Linked DNA regions of Alligator mississippiensis. The protein of the gene in region 4 purifies or fractionates together with the protein of the main gene of each other region. This does not show direct contact. Links are inferred from orthologs where the notes say so. Each region holds a gene or a part of one and is shown on either strand. Other genes may lie near its edges. The genes, in order: GPC1, ZC3H18, NOLC1 and CAMKV.

Region 1 (7,267 bases), on a different chromosome or scaffold from region 4:
AGAGTAACTGTCTCCCTGATTTATACTTATAAGCAGGGACTATGTTCTGCTGAGCTGAGACTTTATATTCATCAAATAATCCTCTTAAATCACAATAAAGAATGCAGATTAAAATATGTGAAGGGTGATAGAAATGTGCTAAAATCAAAATAAATGCAGTTAATTCACTGAGTCGGAGCATGCATTACTAGAACACCTAAAACTTCTTGTGAAATGAAAAAGTGTAGGTGCGAGTGGCCCTTTCAACAACAGCCCTAGAGTAGACCGATTGCTTTTCCCTCCTAGCAGAACTTGGAGTCGGTCCTAAGAGCAGCAGCAGCAATGTACTCTGCTGGTAATCAAATTCTTGGAGGCAGGGAACGATGCTAATAAAGTGAGTTCTCACTTTGCTGAGGGAGGAAAATGGGAGAGAAAGTGGGATAGGAAGGAAGAAATAAAGGATAACTGAAGTGGGAAAACAAAGTGAACAAGGAAGGCTGGAAAACCGGTGCTCTCCACTCCTTCTAACAATGTGCATGGGTAGCACTAGGAAACGGCTTCCTCAAATCACCTCACAGGTCAAAGTAGAACTAGGCTGCTTGTTACTGAACTATCTTAATCAGCATTTTTCTTTTTACTTAACTAATGCTGCTCCTGCTGTTTGTTGATGTGTAGACATTTCTAGACGTGACTGGAATCTTAATCTGACGCAGGTTCTGCCATATGGATTATGGCCCTCTTGGTCACCAAGATGAACTAAATACAGAACAAGTGGTGTTAAGTGACCATTCAAAGTGCCAACAAAATTGGGTTGCTTAACAAACTGAGCTGTTCACAAGTGTAGAATGGTATTATACTCAGTACATTTGGGGATGCTATGAAGTGGTTTCTTCTCAACTACTACCATATTTTTATTAAATATAGACCAAACATCTTATACACAGTGATAGTCAACAAATCAGAAGCAAATACAGTATATTACCATGTGTCAAATAACATTTCCCATACATAAGCATATTTGTAGCAAAATACATTGATGTTTTATCTCAACTGGATGGATATTAAAGCTACACAGATGGAAATTTCGAAATACTTATCAGTTTCAGGCATGTATGACTGTGTTCATCGTTTTGATGTTTCAGTACAAAAGCTGGGAGTATTGGCAGCAGCATATTTGTGTGGATAGATTCTTTTCCCTGGTCCTATCTACAGTTCATTAAATAAATTCTCATAAGAATATATATCTGATTAGAAGACCATATTTATCACCATCACTATTAATCATAACATATAGTCACAGACAAGCAGTTTGACACTACATTATTTCAGCTACTGTTGTTTGAGCCTGCAAGCGTGCTAGCGTTTAAGAGATAATAAATGTAGCTCCTAAACATCTCTCTCCTCCATTATATCTTTACTAAACTCAGCATTTTCTAGACACAATAAGTTTTATATGTCTTGGACCCAGAGATATGTGATATTTGTATCTGATGCAATGCATTTCTCACAATCACAAAATACAACTGATATTGAATCCTACGGTACTATCATTCCATTTGGCACCTTATCCACCTCCACATGACAATATTTAAGTGTTCAACTCCCTTGAAAAAACTTCACAGTTGTTTGACATGTTTAAGCCATTGCTTACAGATACACGGAATAATCAAGAACAAAGAAGTGATGTTTTTGCTTAACTGAATTCATTTTTAAGGAGCTCCCATTTAAAGGATTTTTAAATTCTCCACAGGACCTTCCTATTGTACTTGAAAATCTCCCTTTGGTTCCTACTTAATAAAGAAAATAATCATTTGTTCACATTTATATGCCATTTACTTGAGCTGAAGATCAACCTCCTCCATTTTCAGGGCAGATAATGAAGACATTTGCTGTAAAACTACGCTATAAAGTATTCAGCATAAGAAATTCCACCACTCAGAAATGAACTACAAACTACAATTTTGCTGGGATGTCCCCGTAGGTTGGCTTTGGCACGTACGCCTGCATGCCTTACGCTTTGTCTAAACTGGGAAGCTCCCACAAGTGAGCAAAAAAGCTCCTAGATATGGGTCACAAGCTGATGAATCAGAACGTAGAAAAAAAAACTTTTAAGAAATAAAGAAGAGGCATGCGTGAAATCTCAGCAGATTTTTCCCAGGCTTTGTAAAACCCTACATGAGACCTTTCTATAGTCTCTCTTTTTCTATTTCAGATCCCTTCTGAAAGGGAAACAAAAAACACTGTGCATTTGTTTAAAAAAAAAAAAATCAAATCAAATCGTGTTGGCCCTCTGTATAGATAGTAGTCAGGTAACAGGAATACATGCTGATGTGGGTGGCTGAGGTTACCGCTGCCTTTCGAACACCTGACAAAGAGTCATTTCACTTCGGCTTCATTTTACACAGCTGACAAGTGCTGCTCATGCATTTGTTTCCAATCCAAAAAGAGGACAGGAAAAATCAGTACTGTTCTCTTTATAACCCTGTGGCGTTTTCTAGCGTTGACATGAAACCTGCTTGATCCTGACCGTCTGAGCTGAATCCCCCACATCGCTGCCACTGGAGGAGCAAGACAAAGAGGGTCTGCTATATCCCCCCCCCCACTAGTCAGCCACCTGATATCTGTGAACCGTCACACACCCCGGTTGGCACCAGAGAAACACCCGCTACCCGGGACCATGACAATGGCCGAGGTGACTTTGGGGGTCCAGCTCGGGGGAGAGATGGAAGGTAGGACTTTTAATTAAGGAGGGGGGGAGGGGAGGAGTGGTCCCTAACCCTCCATCCTTCCTCTCTCCTCCGCACCTGAAAACCAGCCCAAGTTCCCGTCCAGCAGATCCCAACTTCAGGGCAGCGGTGGATGCGGATAAGGCGGCTCTCACCCAGACGGGTCCCCGGCCCAGGGGCTGCGGACCGCTGCCTCCGAGTCAGGGGAGGGAGGGAGGGAGGGAGGGGTTGCTCGAGACCCTGTGGGTTTGGGGGGGGGGGGTCTCCTCCAGCCAGGACAAAGCCGCGGCTCGGCGCTACTCACCGGAGATCTCCGCCTGGGGGACCCCGCTCAGGCTGAACCCTTTGCTCCCATAGAGCTGCCGGAGCTCGGCGCAGCTCTTGGCTTTGCCGCCGCTGTCGCCCCGAGCCGAGGAGGACGCGACGCACAGCAGCCACAATCCCCACGGGAAGAGATGCATCCTCGGCCGCTGCGCCCCGCTCCCGGCCCCGCCGCGCGAAGGACGAGCCCAAGGTCCCGCCGCCGCTGCCGCCGCCGCTGCCCCCGGCTGGGGCTGGGCTGGGCTGGGCTGGGCTGGGCGCGCTCACACGACGCGGCGCTCAGCTCCACCTCCCCCGCGCATCCCTGCTCCCGCCGCCCCGGGGCCCGGCTGGCGGGGCGGGGCGGGGCGGGGCGGGGGCAGCGCGGCCGGAGCCGATGCCGCGGGGCGGGGCGGGGCGGGGCGGGCGCTAGCGCGGGGGCGGGGCGCGCATCCCGCGGGGCCGCCGCTGTGTGCCGGCGGGGCTCACCCGGCGCCACCTGCACGGCTCGCCGCGAGGCAGGGCTTCCCCCGCCGGACGTGGCATCACGCCGCCTGCTGCCAATCCGGCCCCGGCCCGGCTCCTCCCCCGCCCGCCCGCCCGCTCGGCTGCTGCCGGGCTTCAGCCCCCGGCGGCCGGAGCCCCGGCCCCGCTATTGTTCCGGGCGCGCCGGCGGCCGGGCGCTTTCCTCAGCCCGACCCGACCCCGCCCGGTGAGGTGCAGCTCCTGGCGCAGGCCGAGGGAGCCAGGGTGCAGGCTCCCAGGACAGCTGCCTTCCGGCAAGGCTCGTGCGGGCGGCAGGCGGCCCTGGCAGGCGCGTGGGCACGAGGAGCCACTTCTTACTCCAGCTGCCCGGATTGACACCCCGACCTGGCAGCTCTTGGAGCCCCGCAGCGAGAAGGAGGATGCAAAAGCGGGGGAGATCTGGCCCCGCAGGCTTCAGAGCAGACTCCTCACCGGACAGATGGAGAAAGGCGGCAGGAGAGGCTTGCCAATTCTGTAGGGAGGGCATGGTAGTCAGGGGTTAAATGCTAAATCTGCCTGTGCTCTAGGCAGGGCCTTGAGGAGTGTAACTGTCTTCTCCAATTTGACTGGAAAACACATTTAAGGTGTCAACATCCAACATAAAGGACCTGGTCCAACATATTTCTGCTCTTTGTCTAACTTCACTAAAACCTGGAAATCCAGCAGGATGCTGGGAGCCAAGGCTTGCATGTTCCATCTTTGAGGATTAAATGTAATTTCTGACCTTTCTGGAGTTCATACAGAAGCAGGGCTTGTCCTCTGCAGACACAGGACATCTTCCAGACAGCGGTGCACACGCTGCCGCACCCTGTTCTTAAAAGCTCCGGTTCCCACTAAAAAGGTGGGAACAACACATGTTAGCACATAGATTCACATCCAAATATGATGTTGCTGAACATAAATTAAGTACAATTGGTTAAGGGTCCTTACACAAGATTTCATATAAATATTTTTTCCTTTTATCTTTTGAATCTGATGGCTTCAGATCTACAGCACAATCTGCAGCTGTTAGACTAACGGGGTACAAAACCCCAGAAAGCTGCCCATATTCTTTCTGGTGACCACACCAAACCACAAAGAAACAAAACAGCAGATTATAAGCATTTGAGAGACGTGTTGGCCCTTGCAGGAATTGCAGCCAGGATTTAGTGGTAAGAGATAACTAAAGTATGAACATTCCCATTTGGGTTAGTTAAGGGACTGAACTCCAGACTTTTGGATGCAAAAGCATTAATCTCTGCCACTTGAGCTAAAGAATCAAGTCACTGAATACAGAAATAGAACCAAAAATGTAAGCCTCCATATGTGGGCTAGCTACTTACTGCAGGATGGTACAAAACAATACTGTGGACTACAGAAGGATCAAATTTGGTATGCTTTTAAAAACTGTGGCACATGGCTAGGACTGGGCTGCATTGTAGTACTTACCTGAGGTCTATTCCCACCTCTGCCTGAACGGTCAAAGCTTTCTCTGAATGATGGTTAAAGCATAAGGTAGAAGCATGAAGTCTTGCTTAATAGTAAATGTTGTGAAGTGCACAGCAGGATTAACCGGCATTAGTTAAAAGGCTAGATTAAAATCCATATTCTCTAGGCTTGTAGTTGAGTGATGGATCACAGGTCTGCACGGGAGGAAGTATGTCATATTCAAGTACTTCTTATTTCTAAAAACTATTGTGCTATGACAACACTGTCTATAGTAGGGGCCAAAATCGTATCACTTAACAGAATCCTAAAAAGTATGTGCTCTACTTATTCAGATTCACCTCTGCAATTTCCTGCATGAAAGATCAGAATATCACAAGCCAGTCTTCATGCTTTGATGGCTAGATATGATACCAGATACCATATGATACCAGACCAGTATGAGGAAGAACTGGTTTATTATCAGCTCTGCCAAAGGCTTCCTGTGTAACGTTTGCCAAGTCCCTTATGCTCTGTCCCTCATTTACTTCTTTGTTAAATGGGCAACAGCACTCTCATCTTGCCCTACTGCTATGAGAACATGTTCATTCATGGCTGTAAGGTGCTCAGAAACTATGTCAAAGGCCACATAAGCAGACAGAAAATTCAGAAGTACTACAAGTTGATTATAAGTTTTGTGGAAGCAGCTATCTGTGTCTGCATGCTGTACAACACAGAAAACAAATCTTAAATAAATAATAACGTGACTGTACTGTTTGTACTGATAAAGCGTATATATGCATCAGAACTTGGTATAAGCATACTTCCCCAAATTGAAATAAAGAAACACATCATGATAAAAATGTACTTTATGCTATAAAGTATACTGGCAATCTGGATTCTCCCCATTGTAGTTCTGAGGCTCAGATCCACTTTCTGAACACTCATTCATTCAGCATTTTGAATTAAAAGGGTGGAGCAGAGTCAGTATGAAAAAGGGGGAAAGCTCTTCCTCCACACATTCCAGAAATCCGCAGTCACTGAAAGAGCTATTTCTTTACAGGGAAAGGATGGCGGGAAAAGGGAGGGGGACCTCACAGAGAAAGAGCCAGGAGAGAAAAGAAAGACTAGAGTGAAATGTAAGGTGAGTATACATAAGAAAGACGGGGGAAAAAAAGAACACAGAAAAGAGCCAACAAGAAGAAAAAGACAGAAAATCCATTCTGCCACGGAGATCACCTCTTGTCAGCTACAGACAGCAAGTGCTGCCTCCTGAAAAGCTGATTCAAGCATTGAGCAGAGGCAGGTGTGATACAGAAGGGCCAAATAAGCTGGCACAAGATAAGAACAAAAAAGAGCTGAAAAGGAAAAAGAAAAAGAAAAAAGAAGTTACATATTCCTGGCACCCAGATCCTCTGAAAACATTATCTGATTCTCTTAAACTGATGGTAAGAAAATCAAAGGCAAACAGCAAAACATAGGTATTTAGAATTCATTTTATTATGATGATAGAGATACTGGTAGGCTTCCAAATTGCTTTGACGTTGTAGATATATCAATAAAACATTGCCCAACTGATCACTGTTTCTTTGTCTCTCTGCCTCCTGCTCTCTCTCTATATAGTGGTCTTTTGTTTTAATTGTGGAAGAACATGGATTTCAGGGTATTGTACAGAGTGACTTAGGGATTTTTTAAGCAGGGGTTCTTCAGTTTTCAAATAGGGAACACTAGAATTTCTGCTGGGGAGGCAAGTGGCAGGACCCAGGCAGAGGAGCCTGCTCTGAGCTGGCACCTTAGACCCAGCTGGAAGTGGTGCACCTCCTGGCCATTTGGGGCCAGGAGGACATGCTTTGACAGTTCAAAGGCCACCACACTGGGAACATCTGTGTGATAGCTGCCCAGATGGCCAGGCAGGGGCACACATGGCAGTAATGCTACACAAAGGCCAACTCTGCAGCCACAGCCTACTGGCAGCTGGCCCAGAGGGGCAGATGCCTCTACTGGCTGTGCAGTCCCCATCCAGGTCTGGCAGTTGCGCAGCAGGTCACAGCCAGGCAGCAGCCCCCACTGCCAGACTGCTGCAGTGGGTAGAGGGCACAGGGAACTCTCAGGGCTGCTTTAGCAATCCAGCTGGCACAAGGGGTAGTGTCCCCAGCTACAAATTGGTCAGGCCCCAGAAGTTCCTGAGAGAGCATACTCCTGAGCTACTTGCCAGGGCAGCTTTTTGTACTGCTGGGGCCAGGACAGGGCAGCTTTTTACACTGCTGGGGCCAGCACAAGTGTTGGCCCCAGGCTCTAGCTTCCCCTGGCCACAGATCTGGGAGGAACCAGGC
Region 2 (7,304 bases), on a different chromosome or scaffold from region 4:
AACACAGGTTAACTCGTTGTCATCAAACCTCAAGAATACTTTCTGTAACCACGCTGAAAGTGGCTTTGTCCTTTAGATGCTGCTACTTAAGCAAGGGTTTGAGAAAGACAGGACTACTGGAAAAGCTCTATCAAGTTCCAACAATTGCTGCAGAACCTCCTGTCATTAAAAAAAAAAAAATGGTTCAGCCAGTATACTAGCAAAGAGAATCTCAAAACCCTGATCAGAGCAAAAACCAATGAAGTAAGAGTCTCCTTCAGGTGGCTCTAGTACTTCAGTGACTGCTCAGTGCTTTCCTAAAGAGCAGAAAGTGAAAAGTTGGCCAGAGCTGGAACAGAAAATACTTTGAAGTTCCATGAGTCATCGGCAAGATGGATAGTTGCAGAAAGGTGAGAGCAACAGTAGCAGCCCTGCGAAGAAAACCTCATAACAGGACTTCAGGAACAGAGTGAGGAACAGATTGGAAAAGACCTCTAGTCAGAGCAGATACGACATCGCGAGAGACTCTTACAGACTGGCTCAGCAGCCAGCAGGAGGCTTTCTTCCTGAAAGCATTCCCTCTCCCTTTCAGCTGTCAAAGAGAGCTGGAGGTGATGAAAGGGTTTCACATACATCAGACACGTAGTAGCCAGAGGCCAACACAAAAACAGTCCACAGCAGAGCTCCTGAGCAGCATCCAGTTGCAGCTGTACAGTGAACTGCAGCACCTTTTCCTTTGCAAACAGCAGAGAAAAGCTGACTTCTCTAATCTGATCTTTGCCCTGTCATTATCTTTTATGTGAGTCTGTTTCTGGTAGTCCATGGGATATCTAGTACCTGGCAATTCCTTTTGGCCAACCTATGTATATGGGTGGGTGAGGGCCAGTGGGCAGATGTAGGGAAAAACATCAAAAGAGAAACACTAATGGGATAGGTTAGACAAAGAGCAGGATGATGAGTGACTTGGGGAGATGGACAGGAAGACAGGAGACAAACAGAGGTGAGGAGCTAGGGAAAGAAAAAATATAAAGGAACAGAACAGAAAAAGAGACGCTAAATATGGCTCAGAAAAAAAAGAGACAGTGGGATCTAAGAAGAGGAAGAAAAGATTCAGATGAAAGCCAAGAAGGTAGGCAGAACAAAAGCTGAGGGGTATAGTTAAAGGCCTGAAAACCTGCAACACTCATGGACCCAGAAGGACAGACCTCCATCTCCAGCTTCCCACTGTGCAAAAATGAAGTTTTATTTCCTACCTAGGGGACATTTTACCATCTTTAATTTTCCCTGATGAACGGCATGTGAGCCCAAAAGCTTGCAGAACAAGACCAATTTTTTTTTTTTGCGATTTCTTAGTTGGTCTGATAAAAGGCATCATCTCTCTGAACCAAGAGTTCTAGATTTTTGCATTTCTTTTTGTCTCAGACCAACACAGCTACCAAACACATCCCTGAAAACCTGTCAGGTAGCTGACAAAGTCAATAAAATCAAATACATACCTGCCCTGCTCCCTTAGAGAAAGTACGGTTTAGAAGATGTACGTGTGTGCGGGTGAGGGGCGACTTGGATTTGTCAAACTAGTGGGGAGGCATCAAGAAAGCCTCTCAAAGGCTGCACGAAGCTCTCTTCAGCACTAGTCCTACAGCACTCCCTTGTGATAGCCACTTCCAAAGCCAGCTTCCCACATCCCCCAAGTCGCACTTTCCGAAACCCTAACTCCAGCCCAACGAGGGGACACAGTTCCCTGCCTTCTCTGGTGGATTAGAGACTGAACAGCTCCAGTGCTGGAGTTCAAACGTCACAACTTACCGCTGCTGGGGCAAGTCAATCTCTTCCACTAGCTGTTCCCTATGGGATACCAGTCTGCTACTGGGAATAAACACATTTTTAAGGCATTCAGCACACATGCATGAATAATTAGGCAGCAGAGTTAAGCATTCAAGTCAGCCAAGGATTTGTTTAGATCAGGAAAAGATTTTGATCTCTGTCCCGGGTCCAAACAAACCTGGAGGTGCTCGGGAGCGAGAGTTCAGCTCTCTTCGGCTCTGCTGTTGATTCATGGGGAATATTTGGGGGGTTACTGATCCTAACGCACTGGAACCACGGCAGGAAAATCCTCCCTGGAACAATGATGGCGGGTAATTCGGCAGCACAGCACTAAGGGCAAAGCGCGCGGATCCTGCTCGGGGCAGAGGCTGCGATGGCAGCTCCTGCAGGGAGCCTCGGGGAGCAGGAGACGGCCCGGCTGGCACAGGGCGACGTGGGGCTGGGACGCGCCGCTCCGGGTGATGGCGGCACCCCTGGGAGCTGGACATGGGGACCTTCTTCCCACGCTCCTCCACAAAACTCACGAGCACGTCTGGACGCGGCTCCCCTGCGCCCACCCCCCGCCCCACAACCTCTGTGGGAGCCAGCCCCTCACCCCCTTCTCCTGGTGTCTGGCCACCGGCCCCCAGCCCCTCCCCCACGCTGCTATGCCCAGCAGGCCCCTGCCGCCATTGGGCCCAGCCCCTCCCCCACTCTGAGGCACCCAAGCCCACCCCCCACATGGGTGTACCCCCCCATGGGACCATCCCCCCAGTGTACTCAATGGGACCCCCCCTCTAGTGCACCCCCCATGGGACCATCCCCCCAGTGCACCCCCCCATGGGACCATCCCCTCAGTGTACTCAATGGGACCCCCCCCTCTAGTGCACCCCCCATGGGACCATCCCCCCAGTATACTCAATGGGACCCCCCCCTCTAGTGCACCCCCCATGGGACCATCCCAAAGTATACTCAATGGGACCCCCCCACTCTGCTGTACCCCCCCCATGGGACCATCCCCCCCACTGTGGTGCACCCATCACTGGGCCCCACCCCTCCCCCACTCCGGTGCACCCAAGCCCATCCCCCACACGGGTGCACCCCCCCAATGGGACCAGGCCGCCAGCCCCCGCTCTGCACGGATGCCAACCCCGCAGCCCCTCCCCCCACTCTGGTCCCCATCCCCCATTCTGGGGTGCCCGCCCCCCCATGAGGGCCCAGCCCCGTCCCCAGGCCCCGCCCCTCGCGCTGGGCCCGGGCCCCTCCGCGCTTGCCGCCCCCTCCCCCGTCCCGGGCCGCTCCTCACCTGTGCGGGGGGAGGGGGCGGCGGGGGGGCCGGGGGCGGCGGCTCCGGCTCTGGGCGCGCGACGGGGCCTCTACGCGCGGCGGCGGCGGCGCAGGGCGGCCATGGCGTGACATCATCAGCGCGCGACGCAACGCGACGCGCCCGCGCAGGCGGGAGAGGGAGAGGGAGGGGGAGAGGTAGGGGGAGGAGGGAGGAGGGAGGAGCAGCCCCCGCCCCTACCCGGCCGGGCCTTAAAGGGGCCGCGCCCCCGGGGCACGTGGGCTGGTGTCCCATGGGCCACACGGCTCAGTGCTGGGGCTCTCAGGTGATCACCCCCCCTCCATGAGCCGCACAAATCTTACAAGGGGGGTGCTCTTGAGGTCGCATCCATATGCAGGGGGCAGGATCAGCCCCCTCCAGGCACCCCCAGAGTGACAGAAATCCGACAGCAGTGGGGTTAGGGGGGACCCCTCCCCCGACAACCCCCTGCTTGAGGCAGGATCAGCCCCCTCCAGACTGTCTATTACAGCAGGGGGGCTGGGGGTCATATCCATATCCAGGGGGCAGGATCAGTCCCCTCCGCAGCACCCCAGACACCCCCAGAGTGACAAATCCGACAGCAGGGGGGACCCCCAAGGTCGCATCCAGTCCAGCCCCCTGCCTGAGGCAGGATCAGCCCCCTCCAGACTATAAAGCACCCCCAGAATGACCGGAAATCCTACAGCTGGGGGGGTAGGGACCCCGAGGTCAGTCCCTTAGCTAGCCACGTCTCTATCACAGTCCTCCCAGAGCAGCGCAGGGGTGTCTGTCATGTGGATCTCAGGCCTGAGCTCGGTGGCATGCCCTATGTCTGCAGTGGGCTCAGCTCCTTGCAACCACGCGGGCATTAGCCCTAGGTGACCCGCTCCTGCCCTGGCCGGGTGCAGGCTGTATGCCAGGGATGGGCTTTGCTCGTGGCTTGCAGGAATCACCTGGCCACGACCCAAGGGGCTGCACCATCCTCTGGGACTTTCCCCTCTTCCCCAGCTGGCGGATCCACCCCATCTCCACAACTGTGGGGCTCCATCCAGCGCGGTCCTAAGCAGGGACGGTCATGGGGGCAGCTCATGGGTCTCCCCTGCGGTTCCCGGGGGCCAGCATTCACCTGGGTTCACGGGCTGAGCTGCCAGATGCCGCTGTCTTGTCCTGCCCTGCGCTTTGGTTTGGCTGGCTTCATCCTTGGGAAAAACACATCACTAATCTTAATAAGCAAGCAGTTCCCAGTCCCTAGCATTATGCAAATACACGCTAATTAGCAGCGCCCACACCCCCAAACCCTCACAGAAGATAGAGGCAGATTGTGCATTGATGATGGGCTCGGTGTGGCTCAGCACAGCAGTGCCAGAGCTGGGATCCGCTCCCCACTGCTGGGCCATGCCTGAGCCCAGGTTACGACGTCTGCAAATGCTCTTGCACCTGCAGCGGGAAGGTTGTCACAGCACTGTGAGCCCCAGACTGCCCCTGTCCTGTGGCAGCCCCTAGCAAAGGCCAGGAGCAGCTCAATGAGCTGTGCTACCCCAACTAGCACGGGGGCTGGAGACCCTCAGCAGCAGCATGCACAGCCCTGCCAGGGCAGCTCTGGGAGGCTTGTGCCCATGCCACCGCTATCCCTTAGGAGACCAGGTGGGGAGGCAATGGATGTGGTTTGGCAGGGAGGGCACCACCAGGTCCCTGCTGTGGAGACTGTGCCCTCCCCTCTCTCCACCTGCATTGGCTCCCAGCTGGGCAAGCTGCAGATGCAGCAGGGAAACTCTTGCCCAGGACACTTCCCCCACCTGGGAGCAACACAGGCCTGGAAGCAGCCGCCTGGGTCAGCTCCCTGTAATTACCACCCACCTGGGCCTGAAGAACCTGCTTTGGCTTCTCCTCCGCAGCCAGCCACAAACCCATGAATGCGCCCGCAAGGCCTCGCAGGCAGCCGGAGAGGAGAGCGGGGAGACCCCTGTCTTCCTGCGGAGGCAGGGACCCCACTAGTCCCCGGCTCCAGCGGGGTTTGCTGTGATGCCTTGAGAAAGCCAGTGCCCCATGGGGCAGTTCTGCCTTTGAGGCAGGGCTGCTCCTTTCAGGACTGCAAGGCATGGACAGCAAAGCCAGGGATCTCCGCTGAGCTGCGGGCCCACAAGCCAGGCAGGGATGCCCCAGGGCTGAGGTGTGGGGCTGGAGCTAGAAGCAAAGGAGTCTAATATTATATGGCTGGAGATGAACAGAGGGGTGCAGGGCTCGAGACACCCAGGAGCCCCCACGGTGGTGGGCACAAAGTCTCTGCTCCCATAGGTTAGCGAGGAGCGAGGAGCTGTATCAGCTGATGAGGAGTCCCCTTATATCTGCAGCCAGCCGCAGCAGCCAGGCAGAGCAGACGGGGAGAGGCAGGGAGCCCGGCTGCTGCCTGGTGGGGAAGGGATGGCGTGAAACCAGCTCGGGAATGCCAGCTGCTCCACCGTGTCCACCTGCTTCTGTCCCCTGGCTGCTCTGGGGTCCGGCGCCTTCCCCAGTAAGTTCTGCAGGGAAGTTTCTTTGGTGGGTGTTTCAGCCGCTGGTGGGAGCGGGGCTGACTTTGCAAAGAGGGGCAGCAAGGAGAGAGCAAGGAGCTGGAGGGGACGAATGAGGGGAGGGCTGGGGATATTCCCCTGAGTTTCTAAGATCCAGTGCAAGGGACCAAAGGAACCAGGCAGCTGCAGATAGACAAAGCACCTGATGCTGCCAGCTGTCAGGCCATGCTCCGCTCCATTCCCGGTGCGCTGTCTGACATGTGCTGAGACCCCCTTCCCCGGACTCCAGCTGCGCCCGTCGAACTGTTCTGGGAATCTGTGTCCATTCCCCTTCGTGGGAGATCAGCTGGACGTCGGCTGCCAGAGCCTGCGCGACGCATCCAGGGCTGTGGGGATGCACAGACCTGCTCCGTGGTGCAGCTGGGGAGAGGGTGACACCGGCTGTGAGATGCTGACAGTGGCTGTCACTTCAGATCAGAATAAAACCCCGAGCTCTGGCCAGGGAAACCCACCCCCCCGCAGTGCTGCATTGGGCTCCATCAGAGCTTTCCCTGTTGGCGGGAAGGAAGGCAAGGCAATAGCAAGAGTCTTTGTTCCAGACAGGCTGGAGCAGGAGGTTTTGAAGGGGGTGCATCTTTTTGCTTGTCCTAGTTGGGTCGTCCCGGAGGCCACCTATGTGGTTTGGCAGCAAGATTTCCAGCTGCATCTGTCTGACGAGCCCTGTGCCCCATGCCTGCATCCCACTGGGAGCTAGCGCGGGGTGACGCGGCCAGCCTGGGTGCCCCTGGGTCCAGGCAGCACCTCAACCTCCACCTAAGGAGCGGGGCACACGCAAGCCCCGAAGTGTGGGCTTGGGGGGGTCTCTGGCATCTGGTAGCCAAGGGAGGAGAGAGCGCTACGTTCCTGCTGTGAGGCAGATGGCATTGCTCTTGCCTCTCACAGCACATGGACTACGAGCTCTCCCCTCACCAGGGACTCGGATCACCAGACACCTCCAAACTCCTCAGCTGCTGGCTACATCCCAACCCTGCTGCTGGCTACATCCGTGGCCTTGGGAGGGGGGTAATCCTACATCAGCAAGAGGGGCTGGCCTGGGTGCAATGACAAGCATTTCCAGCATGCAGCTCCATGCCAGCACAGGGCCCCCCACCCAGGGCGCACACACGTGTAGATGCCCACGACATGGGTGACTCCATGTCCAGGAGGCATCACCCCACACCCACCCCCAGGCACCGCCCCCTGTGCAGATGCCTTCACTATGAGGTCTGATGCTGGGGTCTCACTGTGCTCAGCACTGTGCAGGATCAGGCCAGGCCAGTGGCGGGAATGGCAGGGGAGGGGAGCAGACGGACCCCGCAAGTGTCAGAGAGGAAGAGAGGCAGGCAGGATGGAGGGGGGTGGGCTGTCACCATGGCAATAAGCCTGGGATGAATAGAGACAGAGGAAGCCGAGAGCCCCCGCCCGCCAGCCCCCTGCGGCAGCTCAGCACCGGCAGCTCTGATGACCGGCTACTGCCCCTCGAACTCACTGCCAAGGCCTCGCCAGCAAGCACCGGGGCTCCCAGCCGACGGGGAGGTTTGCTAAGCCCCACCTCAAGCCCCAGACAAGATTTGCCCAAGTCCTGAGCCAGCCAGCCCCAACTCTACCCTGTCTGGGGTTCCTCCTGGGATGCATCCCCGGGATACCCCCAGCACAGGGCAACAGAGCAG
Region 3 (8,068 bases), on a different chromosome or scaffold from region 4:
GGGGGAAGGGAAGGAGTGTGGGGGGAGATCAAGTCCCCTGCACTGAAGAAGCAGTGCTGGGGCAGGCGTTGCCAAGCCGGGGCAAGGCGCAGGATGGAGCCATGGTTTGTCCAGGGGGGTGGGGCATGGAGCAGCTCCTGCTGCTGCGCGCATCCTGGGGTGGGGTGTGTGCACGTGTGCCCCCCAGACCTGTGTGGGGCAGGCTGCAGCTGCAGGCTGGGGCCGCACTCAGGGTGGGTGGCAGTGCTGAGAGGGGGACTATGGGGAGAGGGCTGCAGCCCCCGCCCAAATTTCACCATAGCCCCCCCATAGCCCATCCTCCCAGCACCGCCACCCCCCCTTCTGCCAGGAAGAGCCTGGCACAACCCCAGCCGCAGCCTGCAGATGCAGCCTAACCTGCACCCCACGCAGATCCAGGGGCACATGCCACCCCTCCCCCCCAGGGTGCATGCATCACCAGGAGCCACGCCCCTGCCCCACTATGCCTGGACGAGTTGTGGTTCTGTCCCGCCCCCCGCCAGGCAGCACCTACCCTAGCTCCTTCCTTACTCCCTCCCTCACCACAGGGGCCTTTTCTTTACATCAGTGCTGATCCGATATCGGACCAATGTATCGGTGCACCTCTAATGCAAAACACTGTCCTTCAGATCAGGGGTCAGACTGCCACCCGAACAAAATCAACACAGAACAACCCTGTTCAAGGGACTCCTAGGGCAGTGGCTCCCAACCTTTTTTTGCAGCAACCCCAAATCCAGATCGTGAACCCTGCCCCCAACTCACTCATGCCCGGTGGTGCCAGTAAAGCCTGGGCTGGGCTAGGATTGTGGGGGGCAGCGGCAGCGAGAGCCGCATGGACTGTGCACCGGGACAGCCCCGCAGGCAGAAGAGGTGGAATGAAGGGCAGACCTCCTGCGACCCTGATTTGGGTCATGACCTGAGGTTGGGAGCCACTGTCCTAGGATCTACAAACACACACCTGTGCTTAAAAAGAAACAAAAAAACCCAAGAAAAGTAAGCAAAACAACCCCAGAAGCAGCATGACTGGGGAGCTAGGTAGAGCAGAAGCAGAAACTGGGGGAACTTAAAAAAAACTGATCCAAACTCCTCACAAGATAAAGGAGTGGCTGTGTCAGGGTATTCTCTGCTCCTGCTCTGACACTTGTGGTACTGGAGATCTGAGTGCAGCTCGACTCTCTGCCATTTTTATCTCAATACAAGACAACTTAGAATGTAAGACAAATACCTAATAATTAGATTCTATATATTAACTTTTTACAATTTTCCATGCGCAGAATCTAATTCTTGGGTGGGTTGTCTTAAGTGTGTCCCTACCATTGCTGTGACAGGGAAAACAGCAGCAGGGGGGCAAGTAGTGACAAGGAGATACGCAGCTTGTCTCCCACCTCATGCTCCCTGTGCCTGCATCACCTGGCACCTGCCCCCCTAGCACTTACTGCCTCCCTGGTGCCTGCCCCCCTTGGCACTTAGCTCCCTCTCTAGTCCCAGCCTCTTCCTACCATTTGCCTTCGCCTTCCCCCCTGCCACCACCACTTACCCCAGGTTGTGGCTCCAGGTCTGGGTCCAAGTCCAGTCCTGCTCTGACCCAGGGAACATGCCAGTTCTGGCCCCTGCTTGGCTCAGAAGCAGCAGCTATGGACCTGCCCCAGCCCTGAGTCAGCACTAGAGCTGCCAACACTTGCAGCAGCTGCCATCCCAGGTAGAGCCTGGAGATAGCATGTGCTCTGTGCTCTAGGCCAAAGCCAGGACCCCAGGTAAGTAACAGCAGCCAGAGGGGGAAGAGGGACGCAAAGGGGTAGACTGGCATGGGGCAGAGACGGAAGCTCTGACTCTGGGTCAGGGCTAGAGCCACAGCAGCTACCTACTGCTCCATCTTGTTCTCAAATTTACCCCCCACCTCTGTTGAATGGGGAAAATGACCTCATCTCAGATTTGAGTAAGTATGGTACTTTCTGACCAGAAACGCTAGAAAGAGTTTGACTCTAGAGTAGGAGTTTCTCCATGAAAGCAGTGAGGATTCCCAAGCTCAAAACACGTAACCCTCTGAAGAACATACAGATGCCCTGAGCCCAACCCCCTTTCTATTGCATTGTCTTTTTCATGGGGCTGAAACACGCTTAACTGTCTGTTCTGGATTCATAAATCAGCGGGGCCAACCGTTCTGGCAGATGCGTCACAAATTAAGCCCCGTACCCTCCCTGAGTGCCACTCCAACCCCCCTCCGGCGGCATGACCTGCTGCTCTGCTTTCTGCCCTCCCTGCCGGGGGCTGCAGCCCCCTCCTTGATCTGCCGCGTGCCATGCGCAGACTGCTTGTGCCACGTGTGGCACACATGCTGCAGGCTGGCCACCCCTGACTTAAACAGAGGGTTATGGTGAAACCTAGTGTTTCAGAAAGGCTTACGCCAACCCACGACAGCATTTGTGTTTTACGCTCAGGAGCGGCAGCTGCATCTGAGCTGAACTCGTCTGGTCCATGCACTCCCAGTCACAAACTCATGCACCACTCGCTGGCCCTTGGTGTTGGCTGTCCAGGCATGGCTGGCTGGAGGAAGCACTCACTTCCCAGCTGGAGCAAGGCGTCTCCCCCATCCAAGCCCGCGAGCGGGACCCTCCCCCCACGGACCGACCCGGGGGTGGGGAGGGGAAGGAGGGCGGCGGCCCGGCCCCCAGCCCGGCCGCACCTGGCCCCGCCGGCACTCACTTGAGCCAGTGGTCGAAGACGTCGAGCAGCGAGGCGGCGTTGGGGTCCTGGTCCGCCTGCAAGAGCACACACGGGCGTCAGCGCGGGCCCGGCCCAGACCCCCAGACCCTCCGGCCCGACCGCCCCCCGACCCGGCCCAGCCCGGCCCGCACCACTCCGGCCTCCCGGGCGAAGGCGCGCGCGGCGCGGTCGAAGCGGTGCTGCCGCAGAAAGCCCAACACGAGGGGCAGCAGGTCGCTGGGCACCACGCGCCGACCCGCCATGCTGCCGCCACCACGTGTACCGCCCGCCTCCGCGGTAGGGGTCGGAGGTCAGGGGTCGGGGGCCAGGCCGCCGGCAGGGGCGGGCGGAGCGCGGCCGCCATCTTGAGGTCGGGCAGCGCTGCTCGGCAGCTGCTGGCGCCACCTGGCGTCGGGCGGCCGCACTGCGCGTGCGCCGGGCAGCCCAGCCGTCCGGGGGCGCTATGGTTATGGTGTTTGCACAACCCCGGCACAATGTACGGTCAATGATAGCCACGGTGTTCAACATGTAGGGTCATTTTTTGAGGCAGCGAATTGATGCAGGATGTGCAGAACCCAAGTCACTCGGAGAGTTTTAACCCACTTTTTTTTTTTTTGCAAAAATACTTCTATATAAATAAATAAATAAATAAATAACTCCACCTCCAACAGTCTGCCAAGTTCACTGGCAGCGCAGCACACTGAAAACCCATTACACGGTTCGCACCGCGTGACCGCGCACCCGTCCCTATACCCGTCCCCGCGCCCACTGCCCCACCCAGAGGCGCTAATTCTGAAAATGTCTATGCCAGGCCCCTCTCCACCAGATGAGGTCTGCCATTTCTTTCCTGTCATCCTCTTGTGTCTTTCTGTAGTACCAGTACATTTCACTTTGTCCTTTTTTAATACAGTCCTCAACTGTGGGGTCCAAGTGTCAGTCTGTGAGCAGGTAGCTGGTTTTGCACAGTGCCCACCTGAAGCAGGCAAAGAACTGGTCGGGGCCCCGTGCTGTCTGGGCAGGTGCAGTGGCATAGGCGGTGCACGGGGGAGCACATGCACCCCCTGAGAGCGCCGGTGCACCCCCCGACCGGCAGCACTTGCCGCTTAGGCGATGGGCAGGTGGGAGTGCCGGTGCCCCCCTGCAAGCGCCGGCTGATCGCTGCAGTCACTCCCGGAAGCGGCTGCGGCTATAGGTCGCAGCGATCGGCCATTCCGGGATCGGCTGTGGGGATCTTCCCCGGCTGCGGGGGTACCCCCCAGTCAGCGGGACTGGTCACAAGCGGGGCACAAGTCGCCCATGGTCAAGTGCCCGTAAGAACCTCTTCCCTGGTCAGGTCTCTGAAACCTCCCACCACCAGGACGAGCGCACAGACTTTCTTCCCACCTCCCTGGCGTGTGGGCAGTCCCAGAAGAGACGGTCGCATGTTTCTGCCTGCCTGCATCAGGTCAGCCTCAGGCGGGGCAGAGTCGTAACCGACTGCCGAGGTTGCTGTCAGCACTGTCTTGTGACAGCTGTCCTCGAAATAAACAAACGCGTCAACTTGTTCTCACTCACTCACTGGCGACTTAAAGTGAGAAGCAATATAAAGTCAATAAAAATAATTATTTGCATACTTATTTGCATACGTTTTCAGTGTACAATCGTTTTTCAGCAAATGTGATAATTTCAAATTTGATCATTTCATTCCTTCAAACCCTTAAACCCGATGTGCCAGCCCTGGTGCCCTTCTTGGGGCTGCCAGACCCTTGGGCCTGGCCTGGCCTTGCCGGGGTGGGCTTCTAAAGCAGTGAGTCTTCCTCCACCCCTGAAGAGCCCCTCAGGGGTCACACCATGATAGATCCGCGAGGGACTCACAAGAGAAATGCATGGGGACCCCACAGGGCTTGTCCTGCCCTGCCTGGGGTCCAGTGGGGCCCTGCCATCAAAGAATGGCTGGAGGCAAGAAGCAAGGCGCCCATGGCCTTTCCAGTGGAGCTGCATCCTGCGCAGCTTGCACCCCTGCTCTAGGTGCTGCCATCAGACTCGGATGCAGGCACCTCCCCAAAGGCAAAGGCGGGAGCATGAGGCAAAGCCAACAAGTGGCAAAGATCCAGGCCAGAGCCCTGTCCATACATGCCCCCCTTAAGCTCCTGCGGCTGCCCCGGGGCTGTGGTGGGCCACCCGGGAGTCCTCAGCTGGGGAAAAGGACCTTGTTGAGCTGAGAGGAGGCTTTGCAGGGGAGCTTGGTGGGGCCTGGCTGGGGGCCTCTGCAGGCACTGAAATGAGGCCTGTTACTGTAGCACCCAGCAGCCCCAGTCACCAGTCAGCATCCAGGGGTGCTCGGTGCTGTACCTCCAGAGCAGGAAGACCACCTGTACACAGAGAGCTTGTGAGTGAAGCATAAGGCAGTGACAGATGAAGACAGACAGATGGAGGAACGCAAGGGAATAAAATGAGAATACCAGGCACCATGGGAGGCAACAGTTTTGGCAGCCTACTCATTATCCGTACAGTTTCCTTGAAATCAGGGCAAAGGAGAATCCTGATGAGGGTCTTGAGACTGAATAATATGGTCATTCTGCAGATGATTATGGGGAGCCTGTCCCAGGCATGGAGAGCAGGATGAAAGGCTTGGGTTGAAAATCTAACAAGTGGTTGATGGCAGCTAACATCATGAGTTGATCAGAGGAAATAGACCTCTTGATGCAGAATGAGAGAGGATAGGTAGGGTAGGGATAGTTTGCAAAGGGATTCATAAGTGAAGATGAGTAGCTTATGTTTAATGAGAGGATCTCTCACTGTTTCCAATAGGATTGAGGCAGGCTGTCCTCTTGCAATCTTGGTTCAGAGTCTTGTGTTGTTGGACATTATGGGTAGGAAATGGGATGCACTTCAGGCCATAAGGCCATTATTAGACTTTGACATTATTACAGTGCTATTATCTGAGATTTTAGGAGTGCTGCTCTCTCTTGAGGAGCTCTCAACACTGTTGAATCTGTATCACCAACTCCTCTACTTCTTTTGCAAATGTAAGATTTGATTTAAATTTAAAAGAGAGAGAGAAAGAGAGAAAGCAAGCCTGGCACTGAACAAAGAAGCACTTGCTTTTGTAATTTTAAATTTAAATTTTAAACATATCTATGGTGTACGGATCTTCAGGAAAAATAAAATTCTACAGGGATTTGGTATTTATACGCTTATTGACAAGAAACACAGTCCAGCATGTATTACTGTAACACAAAGAATTGGGTTCTGCAGAAATAACTCTAAATGGGCTGATGTGGGGAGGAGATTGCTTTGGTAGACATAAGACATCCTGCAGTGGGGGCTTGGTATGGTTATACTGATTTCTCTCCCAGCAGCAGTGTACCCTGCACTCCAGTAGCAGGGAAAATCCAAAATATGCTGAGCTCACTGTGTGGCTGTCTTCCTCACTTTGCCATCTCCAAAAGCTTCTACATCCAGAAGCAGCCACATATCTCAAAACTAGATCTGATCCCATTAAAGCCATCCTTCCTGAACACCCTTTTGTCAGTCAATGGACAAGGACTCATTGTTAGAGTCCACAACGTCTGAGTGCTTGTGAAAGATCTTGTGTTGATACTGTTGGCTTATAAAAGCTTCTCTCGAGGAGATAGGGATTGTACTAGCTGATTCTTCTGTGTGCTTGTAGCAGGATAGAGCCCCCAGGGGTGGCTGTGATATCCCCTGATGGCAGCGCAGCTCCTGCACCCACTCTGGCTCCCTGGGCCCCTTTCCTTTTCCCTCACCTGCCACACCTTGATGTAATGAGTTGGTTTGTGAAATGGAGGCTTCCCTGGGGTCTCCAAGTGAACCCTGGGGTCTCCAAGTGAACCCTCATCCATCCTTCTTGGCCAGTTGGTCCCTCCTGGACCCCCCTGGTCCCCAAATCTGCCCCTCAGGCACTAGGTGGGCCCTTCTGATCCACCCATGCTCCCTCCAGGGCACCTGTTGCCTTAAGGGCTAATTTTGTGGTCTTTGTCCTCCTCTGTAGCCATGCCCATGCCTCGTGGAGGTTATCAGTCAATCAGTGTCAGGTCTGGTCTTTTTCAGACCTCTCCACTCTTGCTGGGGCTTCAACCCTCCTGGCTGCTACCCCTTTCCTTTCATTAGCTCCTCTGCCTAGGCCCATCGTGCTGGACCTGGCTTCTGGGCTCCAGCTCTTGACTCACCCTCTCGGACTATGTTTTGACCTCTTGGGCTTGGGGCCCCTGGCCCTAGTCTCACCCGTCTTGCGTCTCTGGCCTTGGCCTTCCCAGCTTCAGTCTGTCTCTAGCTCCCCCATCTCAGGCTGTGGGCCCCTGGACTTGGTTTCACCCTCTTGGGCTCTACCCTTTAGCCCTTCCAGCTTCAGGCCACCTCTTTCACCAGGCTTTAGACCTCTTAGCTGCTGCCTGCCTGGGGTTTGAACTCAGCCTCTAGCAAGGGCTCAAACACTCATATGCCCCATGGGCACTACTGTGGCTTGGACCCTGCCCCTGGCACAGGTCACTGACGTGCCTCTCTGGAGCTCTGGGAACTCCTTATCCCCTGATAGTCACATCCCAGCCCATCACTATAATTTTTAGGGCTGTGTGAAGCTTCGGATGGTGATTCGATTCGGAGAAGATTCAGTCCAATTTGGTGGCTGAATCTCCGAATCCAAATTGAATCAGGGGACCAATTTAAAGGTCCGAATCATTTCAAAGCTCTTCAAATCTTCAGCAAAGATTTGGAGAGCTTCGATGATTCATGCATTCCCAGGTGAGCCACTCTGAGCTGGTAAGTACTAGAGGAGGGGGAGGGGGGAAGGGACCATGGGGGGGATCTAAGTCAGCCCCCCAGCCCCCGCCCACTCCCCCAGCTGCCCTGCCTGCCAGGACTCTGGCCCTTTAAGAAAAAAAAAGTGGAGAAAAGCCCCTGGGCTCAGGCTCCTGGTGCAGCCTCAGGGCTTTGGGGGCTCCTGCAGCGCCCTCACCTGGCTCAGAGCATCAGGGATTGCCCCCTGTCCACAGCAGCAGCGAATCCCAGGTTTCTTCAGGCTTTTTTTTCTTAAAGGGCTGGAGCTGGCCCATGCGGGGCACCCATGAGGGGGCTGGGAGAGTGATGGAGGGGTTGTGGGGGCTCATGCAGAGCCCCCCATGCAGCATGGGGCAGCGGGGATTGCCTCCCACCTGGCAGCACCTGCTGAGCCAGGGCTTTTTTTTCCCCAAATGCCTAGAGCTGGGGCAGGCGGGGTGGCCATTGCTGGGCTGGGAGAGCAGGTGTAGGATGGGCCTGGCCTGGTTGATTCGGAGACTCGGCTAAATCGAATCAGGACAGTGATTCAAATCACCGAATCGAATCACTGTCCCCCGAATCAGCCGAA
Region 4 (7,785 bases):
TACCCAAGAGGCAAGGTCCCCCTGACCCCCATGCCACTCTTGGGTAACCTAATCCGAGATGTCACATTAGGTTCTGGCACCCCCTTGCTGGAGGGGAGGGGGGGGGGGGGGAGGGAAGAGAGCAATGAGAATGGAACTGGGGCCCAAGCTGGACTTAAATATTTATAGCTCAGGCAGACTGCTAATGGGGAAATGTGGTGACAGCCTATGAAATCTAGAAGGTATAAACAGCCAAGGAGGCATTGTTCAGGGTGGTACAAGTTGCAACCGACTGGAATAGCATGCTCTGCATCAGTGCTGAGGGGCATCACAAGAAGCATGTGTGGGGAGGTGGGGGGGCATCTAGGACTTGAAGGGCACTGACAGAACAGGGGGGGAGAGCTCAAGTGTGGAACAACCGTCTTTGCCACTCTTTTCAACACCTGCCTTTGTCACAGATCTCCCATGCCAGTATCAACCAGGACCAGCCCTGCTTGACTTGCAAAATCGAAAGAGAACAGACCAAGAGAGATGTCTGCAGATCATAGAGAAAAATTCTATATAGGCTCTAATAGTCTCAACATCAATCACAGCAGTAGAAAGGGGGAAAATTGGATGCTGGGCTGTATTAAAAGAATTGATAGGGGAGAAAAATACTGTTCTATCAATCAGGACATTGTTCTCACTTCAAAACCAGCAGGAGCTTACCATCCTGTATATATTCACTGCTCAAAGGAGAGGCTAATAGCAATGTGTCAGGATGTCCAGCTGCCTGGCCACAGGAAAGGAGCACAGCACAGGGGGTAAGTCACTGGTATCACTGCATTTGCAGGTGCTTGACTGTAAGCCCAAAGAGCCAAGAGAAAGCAAATCTGTTCCATGCTACCCTATGGTAGAACAGAAGTACTCCACAGCAAGAGAACAGAAGGGGGTGCCACTTGCTGTCATTACAGAGCACTTCTGTGGCAAGAGATCAGAGAGAGTCTATGTAGATTATAAGTAGCTTGTGGAACTTGTTGCCACAGCATATCCATGAGTCAGACGCATTAGATGGAATGAAAGGGCTGAATACATTTTAGGATCACGCCTAGCATTTCCTATTATAAGAAAGATCTTGTGCTTCAAGGCATCAATTGATCCTGCCATTGGTCCATACATATAATAGACAACACTGCACAGACAGCTACATGCATCATAAGTTGTTTATAAGGAAGCAAGAGATGCTTTCTTCTGCAGGATCAGCCATTGGCTGCAGTATACAGACTACATGGCTCAACCAGCTGATCTCATCTGACAGCATTTCTGCTCCTGAGGCAAGGTGGGGGAGTCTGCCTCCTGCTCTTACACTTCAAACCCAGGCTACCTGGGTCCTACAGTCTGCAGCCTTGCAGCTGTCCTGAGCTGGGACAAGGCCAGTGACAAGCAAGAGGTCTGCCCTGGCTCCAGGGAGATGGTCAGAGAGGCTTTTGAAGCCTCCAATATCTGTGATCCACACACCCTGCAACTCAAGAGAGCAAGGCATCACCCACAGGTGTGCTCCAGGAGCTCCTGGGAAGGGGGGTTTCTCACAAGGACAACCTCAGCCCTAACACTGATCCCTCCTCACGGTCCGCTCATGCTTCTGAATGATCACAATGCTTGAGGGAGACAAGCGAATTGACATGCCCCTCTCCCAACCGCTACCTTCCCTCCCAGAAGGCAGAAAGCGAAGTCCAGACACATGCTACCATGGCCGTGGGTTTAGCAGTAGGCACCAGCAGCTCTGAAGTGACCCAGTACAGACCCGCCAGGGCCCAGCCTGCCTAGGCTGTCTCCTCAGTCCAAGGCACGCGGCACAAGAGGGGGGTACAGGCCATGGCCCTGGGCCCAGCTGCAGCACCAGGGGCCAGAATTCATCCAAGAGGTTTTCCTCACAACCCGTTTCTTTCCCTGCTGCAGCTCCCGTCTCAGGGGAAGACTCCCGACACCCCATCGCAGACCTCAGCGCTCTGCTCAACCGCCCTCCCTCTGCCAGGCAGCAAGAGGACCAGCATGAAGAGAAGCGGGCTCTGCCCCAATACCGGATCCCCTGTGCTAACGCTGGGGCTCAAAAAAGCAGAGGGGGACGGGGTCTTTTCTGGGACAACTTGGCTTCGAGTCAGGGCAGCCTTCTAAAGGACAGGACCGAGCCCAGGACGGCGGGAGATGGGCACAGGGAGCGCGGGCGGGAAGGCACAGGGGAGCTGCGGGGAGGACGCGCGCGGGCGGCGGGCCGGGAGCCGGCTTCCCGCCAGGAGGGAGCGGCTGGGGCATCGAGGGCTCCCGCCGGGGAGGGGGGAAGCCAAGCTCCCCGCCCCGCCGCGAGGTCTGGGCCGGGCCGGCGCTTAGGGGTCGAGCTGCCCCCGGGAAGGGGCCGCGCGCGGGGGTGGAGGGAGCAGCGGCTTATGGGCGGGAGGGGAGGGGAGGGGAGGGGAGGGGAGGTCCGGCCAAACACGCCCACGTGCGCCGCAGCCAGGCACGTGCCGGGGGAGGCAGCGGCTCCACACGCGCTGCCCAGCCCAGCCCCCGCCCCCCAGCGCCCGAGGCCGCAGGGCCTTGCCCCCCCCCGCGGGCAGCGCGCCCCCACGGCCCGGCCCGGCCCGGCCTTTGCGACAGCCCCGTTGTCATGGCAATCGGCGCCGCGGCTCGCGGGGGGGCGCCGCGCAGGGGGCCCGCAGTCCCGCGGGGGGGGGCTGCCCCCTCCTGGCGCTGCCCCACGTGCCGCCGCCCGCCCTGCCGCCGGGCACCTGCTGCACCGGCCCGGGCCGCCCGGGCGCTGCGGGCCGCTCGCCTCGAGCCGCTGCCAGCCCCGGTGGCCCGGGGGCGGCGCGGCGCGGCGCGGCGCGGCGGGGGGTGACGGCGGCGGGGCCTGGCGAGGTGCCCGCGCCTCCTGCCGCGCAACTTTCCCGGCGCGGGACCCGCATCGCGCACGCTCCCACGACCGCGCCGCCCGGAGCCGCTTCCCCCACGAGGCAGCGGCGGCGGCAGCACCTGCCGGACTCCGCGTGCGGGGCAGAGCGGGCGGCGGCGCCGCGCGCCCGGGGAGCCGGAGCCGGAGCCGGAGCCAGAGCCGCAGCAGGGCGGAGGAGCCCGCGCGGATGCCCGCCGAGCCCGGCCCCGCTCCACTGCAGCGAGCGGACGCGCCCCGCCGCCCCGGCTCACCTGCGAGCGAGCTCCGGCCGCGGGAGGGGTGCGCGGACGGGAGGGCTCCCCCTTCTGCTGCTGCTGGCGCCTGCGGCCCGTCCCCTTCTTTCCGGGGCGACGGGCTCCTGCGCCCACCCGCTGGGCCGGGCCTGGCCGGGCTGGGCAGCGGCTAGCGGGGGCAGGCGGAGCCGAGAGCGCGCGCGCTGCCTCGCGCCTCCAGCACCGCTCTCGCACTCGCGCTCCGGCTCCGGCGGGGAAAGTTCCCGGGACCGAGCCGTGAGCACCGCCCCTGGGCGGGACCGCCGCTGACGTCCCTGCAAACTTTGGGCCCCGCCCCCCGCCCCCGGGCTCAGCCCCGGCCCCGCGCGGCCCCTGGGGGTGCTGTGCTGAGGTGAGCTGAGCCGGGCCGCCTCCGGCAGGAGGAAGGGCCCAAGTCGGCTTGACATGCCCAGCGCCCTCCCCGCGGGGCAGCTGCCGCCCTCCGGGGACGGCCGTGTGCTGTGTGGAGGTGCCTGGGGCGAAGCGAGCCGTGGGACCCGCACAAGTGACACTCCTCGTCGTGACTCGTGTGGCAGCCCGCCGGTGTCACGTGTGCCACGAGCTACAGTCCTGGCACTAGGCACGGGGGAGGTCCGTGGAGGGCAGGGGTACCCTGGCCCCTGGTAGCTGCCGTTTCTTGTACCTCAGGGGTCCGAGTGATCTCCCACGAGGTCCCTCGGGGCTAGGCGGGGCTGGTCCAGGAGGGAAGAGGCGGTGAAGGCCTCTGGGTCAGAGCTGGGATTACAATTTGGCAGTTCCAAACTCTGACTGCTCAGTCGTGCCTCGGACCTTCCTATCCTGATACTAAGGTCTGCAATGAATTGTATTAAGACTCTTTTCTAGATGTACTTTAGCAGGGCAGAAATTCCAATCTGGATCACAGCTGCCTTGTCCCTGGTACCTTAAGTGAGAAAAAACTACTCCTGACCTGCTGGAGTTCACCAAAACGGATGCCTATCAAAGGAATAAGCTTCCCTGAATAACAGACTTTCTTCTCTGCAGCACATTAAATACCCACAGCAAGGTCTCTTTAAAGCAATATATTACTTATGGGGTGGGGAGGAGGGATCTAGCTCCATATGGCAGTTTCTGGGCAGCAAACCAGCTCACATTTTTATCATGAGATATGAAATAGTGTGGGCTAGTGGGCACACACAATGGCACCCAGGGGGTAGGGTTCTGTGGGGCATCGAAGACAAAGCTTTTACTACCTGTCAACCCACAGATGTGGATCCAGTGACAACTGGCTGTCTGCTCACCCTCAGTCTGCCCAGAGAAGCTACCCAACTACTGTGACCCATTATTCTGGCTCCTATATTCAAACACCTAGTCTTTTTGGGAAAGGGCCTGTTTTATTTAGCAGAGCCTATATTACCAGTCCTAACTTCTCAGACAACATAAACCCAGAGAACCCAAAAAAAACCCTACAAAACCAAACCCAGCCCTGCAGAGGAAATGTTCTTCCCCACCAGCAGTTGTCATCAGAAGAGACTGGGAGATTTTTAAAAATGAGATGTAGCTAGCTTGACATCTTCCCTTCAGAGGAAATCCTTCTGGGCTCTAGCTTTCTACTTGCAGAAGCCTGAAAACCAGAAGATTGGGAGGGATGGAAATTACTGCTCCCTCTGCCCAAGAGTGCAATTCAAACAGTAGGAAAGGGACAAGTGAGAAGCGAGAACAGGCAAGAAGTTTCTTTTGCCTTCAGTCATGTCAAGTTTTCCTTCTTCCCATCCACCATGAAGAGTGAGTCTGCTGGGCCTCAGAGCTCATTGATCATCTTGATGCTATTTTTTGAAGAGAAAGCTGCAGGGGGCTAGGAATGAATACAAGGGTGAGCAAAACAAAGTGACAGAATGGAGATAAGGGTGGGGGCAGTGGTCAGGGATCCAGGAGATTCTTGGCTCTGCCACTCCCCTCCCCCCGCAGGAACATAAGACTCAGATGGGTCTCCTGGGCTACTGAGTTGAGTTCTCTGCATTTGAAGGCAACTATTTCCCAAATAAATCCTTTAAAGTGCCTCTTCAAACCCTCACACATAACTACAAGGTACAAACCCAGAAACACCTACAACATACCATAGGTAAATGCTGGGGAGACAAGGGTATTCCTGGTGTCCTGCCCACAGTGCTTGCCAATTGGTGAAAATTTTCTTCCTGACCTCATATTTAGTGGTGGTTCTGACCACGAGTAGAAATGCCAGGTTACCTAGTCAGGACCTCTCAATTTTTCTAAATGCCAACAGGAGGATCAGCACAGCCCAGTCAAAACCCCTGGCCTTAGCTGTGGCCCGTGGAAAGCTGCTTCAGAGAAAGAAGACACTTCCTCTTTCTGTGTCTCAGTACTTAGGGGTGCAGGGCAGGGGGTGGGAAAGGAGTGTATAAAAAACCTATACCCCTAAAAAATGTTCCAACATGTGGGAAAGAAAACTATAGTATGCTATTAGTAATAACCTTCTGGGCTATTGTCTTTTTTTTTTATTAATCATTACTAACTCACTATTGCCCTCCAAGCTAGTGTCACTTTGTGTTATTCTGTGAAGGCCAGATCCTAATCCAACTATTGGCTGCCTAACTGTGATTGTATTTCACCCTGCTTGAGTCCCTGAAAAAACAATTAACACCAAAGGTGGTGAATCGTCCTTCTGCTTGCTGCTTTCTGTGCTTTCGTCTTAAGGCTGAGGTGATGGCATGTTACAAAAATAGGTATGTTAACATTTTTCCAGGTACACAAGTAGGGTGGTATAAGATCATGGTTAGATGTTTAAGAGGTGGAGTAGGTCCTAGCCCTGAGTATATAAGTGATTATGGGGGGGGCGGGGGGGTCAATGTATGTGGGATGGGAAGGTTTAAGCCATTAGCAATGCTCTCATTTCCCAATTAGCAAAAGGAAATAAGGATGAAGCTGTATGCTCTGATCTTACAGATTCATAGACTCATAGAAAATTAGGGTTGGAAGGGACCTCAGATGGTCATCTAGTTCAATCCCCTGCTTAAAGCAAGACCATCCCAACTAGAACATCCCAGGCAGGGCTTTGTCCAGCCAGGCCTTAAACCTCCAAGGATGGAGATTCCACCACCTCTTCAGGTAACCTGTTCCAGTGCTTCACCACCCCCTTAGTGAGAGAGTTTTTTCTAATATCCAACCTAAACTTCCTTTGCTGCAACTTGAGGTCATTGCTCCTTGTTCTGTCATCTTCCACCACTGAGAACAGTGGCTCTATCCTCTTCGTAACAACCTTCCAACTTAAAGGATGCTATCAAATCCCTCCTCAGTCTTCTGTTTGCAAACTAAATAACCCTAGTTCAATGAGCCTCTCCTCATAAGTTATGTGCCCCAGCCCTCTAACCATTTTCTTTGCCCTCTGCTGAGCTTTCTCCAATTTGTCCACGTCCTTTCTTTAGTGGGGGGCCCAAAACTGGACACAGTACTCCAGGTGTGGTCTCACCAGTGAATAATAGGAGGGAATAATTACTTCTCTTCATCTGCTGACAACATTTGTACTAATGCAGCCCAGTATGCTGTTAATTTTCTTGGCAACAAGGCACACTGTTTGCTCATATTCAGTTTATTGTCCACTGTAACTCCCAGGTCCTTTTCTGCAGAGCTGGTGATTAGCCAGTTGGTCCAAAACCTTTACTGGTCCTAAATGTAGGACTTCACTTGTCCTTGTTAAGCCTCATGAGATTCCTTTTGGTCCAATCATCCAATGTGTCTAGGTTACTCTGAATCCTTGCCCTACCCTCCAGCATATCTATTACTCCCCTTAGCTTAGTGTCATCCATGAACTTGCTGAGGGTGCATTCTATTGCATCTTCCAGATTGTTTGTGAAGATATTGAACACAACTAGCCCAGGACCAACCCCATGGGGCACTCCACTTGACATCAAGCTGTAGATCACTATCCATTGAGCCTGATGATCCAGCCAGCTTTCTATCCACCTTACAGTCCATTTGTTCAACTCATACTTCCTTAACTTGCTTGCAAGAATGCTGTGGGAGACCATATGAAAAGCTTTGCTAAATTCAAGATAGATTGCAGCAGTGCTGATCTGACTCTGCTTTGGCTGGAGTCAATGGGGATAGATCAGGGCTGAATGCATTTGCAGATCTACTTACTAAAACATGTAGGGGTGGTACGTTTTCCCTTGAACTCCCAACTCCCAAGACTTCTGGTCAAGTCATCTGGGTTTTGCTAGCCTCTGATGAAGATTGGCAGTATCTGATGGCAGGCAGCCAAATAACTCCATATAATAATGCAATTGACTGGCTCCTGGCAATTTTCTGAATGCTAGCCATGCCAGAAACTCAAGCATCTTCTTCTGACGCTATTAAGAAGAAATCAAATGCAACCGCCCCCTGTAATTATGTCAGAACATCACTCACTGCTTGGGGAAAAACTACAGCTAAGATGACAGTCAAATATTTGTTGTGACCATCTTTACATGCCCAACCATGTCATAGTCCTTAAATAATACAATATATTTAATTTTTTTCTACCCACTGCTTTCTAGATATGAACAGAGGAAACACAAAGGACCTCTTTCTCCCCTTGCTTAAATTAGAAGTAAACTGTAAATTGAATTGACTTACATTACTGTTAAATTA

Evidence for each region.
Region 1: the proteins of CAMKV (region 4) and GPC1 purify together in Homo sapiens (affinity purification with mass spectrometry; 3 studies listed by BioGRID and IntAct, counting the BioPlex papers as one, with this or other methods). This does not show direct contact. The link is inferred for Alligator mississippiensis from reciprocal best matches to the Homo sapiens genes CAMKV and GPC1.
Region 2: the proteins of CAMKV (region 4) and ZC3H18 purify together in Homo sapiens (affinity purification with mass spectrometry; 3 studies listed by BioGRID and IntAct, counting the BioPlex papers as one, with this or other methods). This does not show direct contact. The link is inferred for Alligator mississippiensis from reciprocal best matches to the Homo sapiens genes CAMKV and ZC3H18.
Region 3: the proteins of CAMKV (region 4) and NOLC1 purify together in Homo sapiens (affinity purification with mass spectrometry; 3 studies listed by BioGRID and IntAct, counting the BioPlex papers as one, with this or other methods). This does not show direct contact. The link is inferred for Alligator mississippiensis from reciprocal best matches to the Homo sapiens genes CAMKV and NOLC1.

What each region holds. Positions count from the first base shown.
Region 1 is NC_081830.1:42,556,687-42,563,953, forward strand, and holds the start of GPC1 (glypican-1), read right to left. Parts: upstream 3,349-7,267; 5' UTR 3,167-3,348; coding exon 3,010-3,166; intron 1-3,009. UniProt on the Homo sapiens protein: Cell surface proteoglycan that bears heparan sulfate. Binds, via the heparan sulfate side chains, alpha-4 (V) collagen and participates in Schwann cell myelination.
Region 2 is NC_081833.1:75,182,739-75,190,042, reverse strand, and holds the start of ZC3H18 (zinc finger CCCH domain-containing protein 18), read right to left. Parts: upstream 3,195-7,304; 5' UTR 3,089-3,194; intron 1-3,088.
Region 3 is NC_081829.1:17,770,506-17,778,573, reverse strand, and holds the start of NOLC1 (nucleolar and coiled-body phosphoprotein 1), read right to left. Parts: upstream 3,019-8,068; 5' UTR 2,985-3,018; coding exon 2,874-2,984; intron 2,778-2,873; coding exon 2,722-2,777; intron 1-2,721. UniProt on the Homo sapiens protein: Nucleolar protein that acts as a regulator of RNA polymerase I by connecting RNA polymerase I with enzymes responsible for ribosomal processing and modification.
Region 4 is NC_081835.1:42,071,697-42,079,481, forward strand, and holds the start of CAMKV (caM kinase-like vesicle-associated protein), read right to left. Parts: upstream 3,402-7,785; 5' UTR 3,160-3,401; intron 1-3,159. UniProt on the Homo sapiens protein: Does not appear to have detectable kinase activity.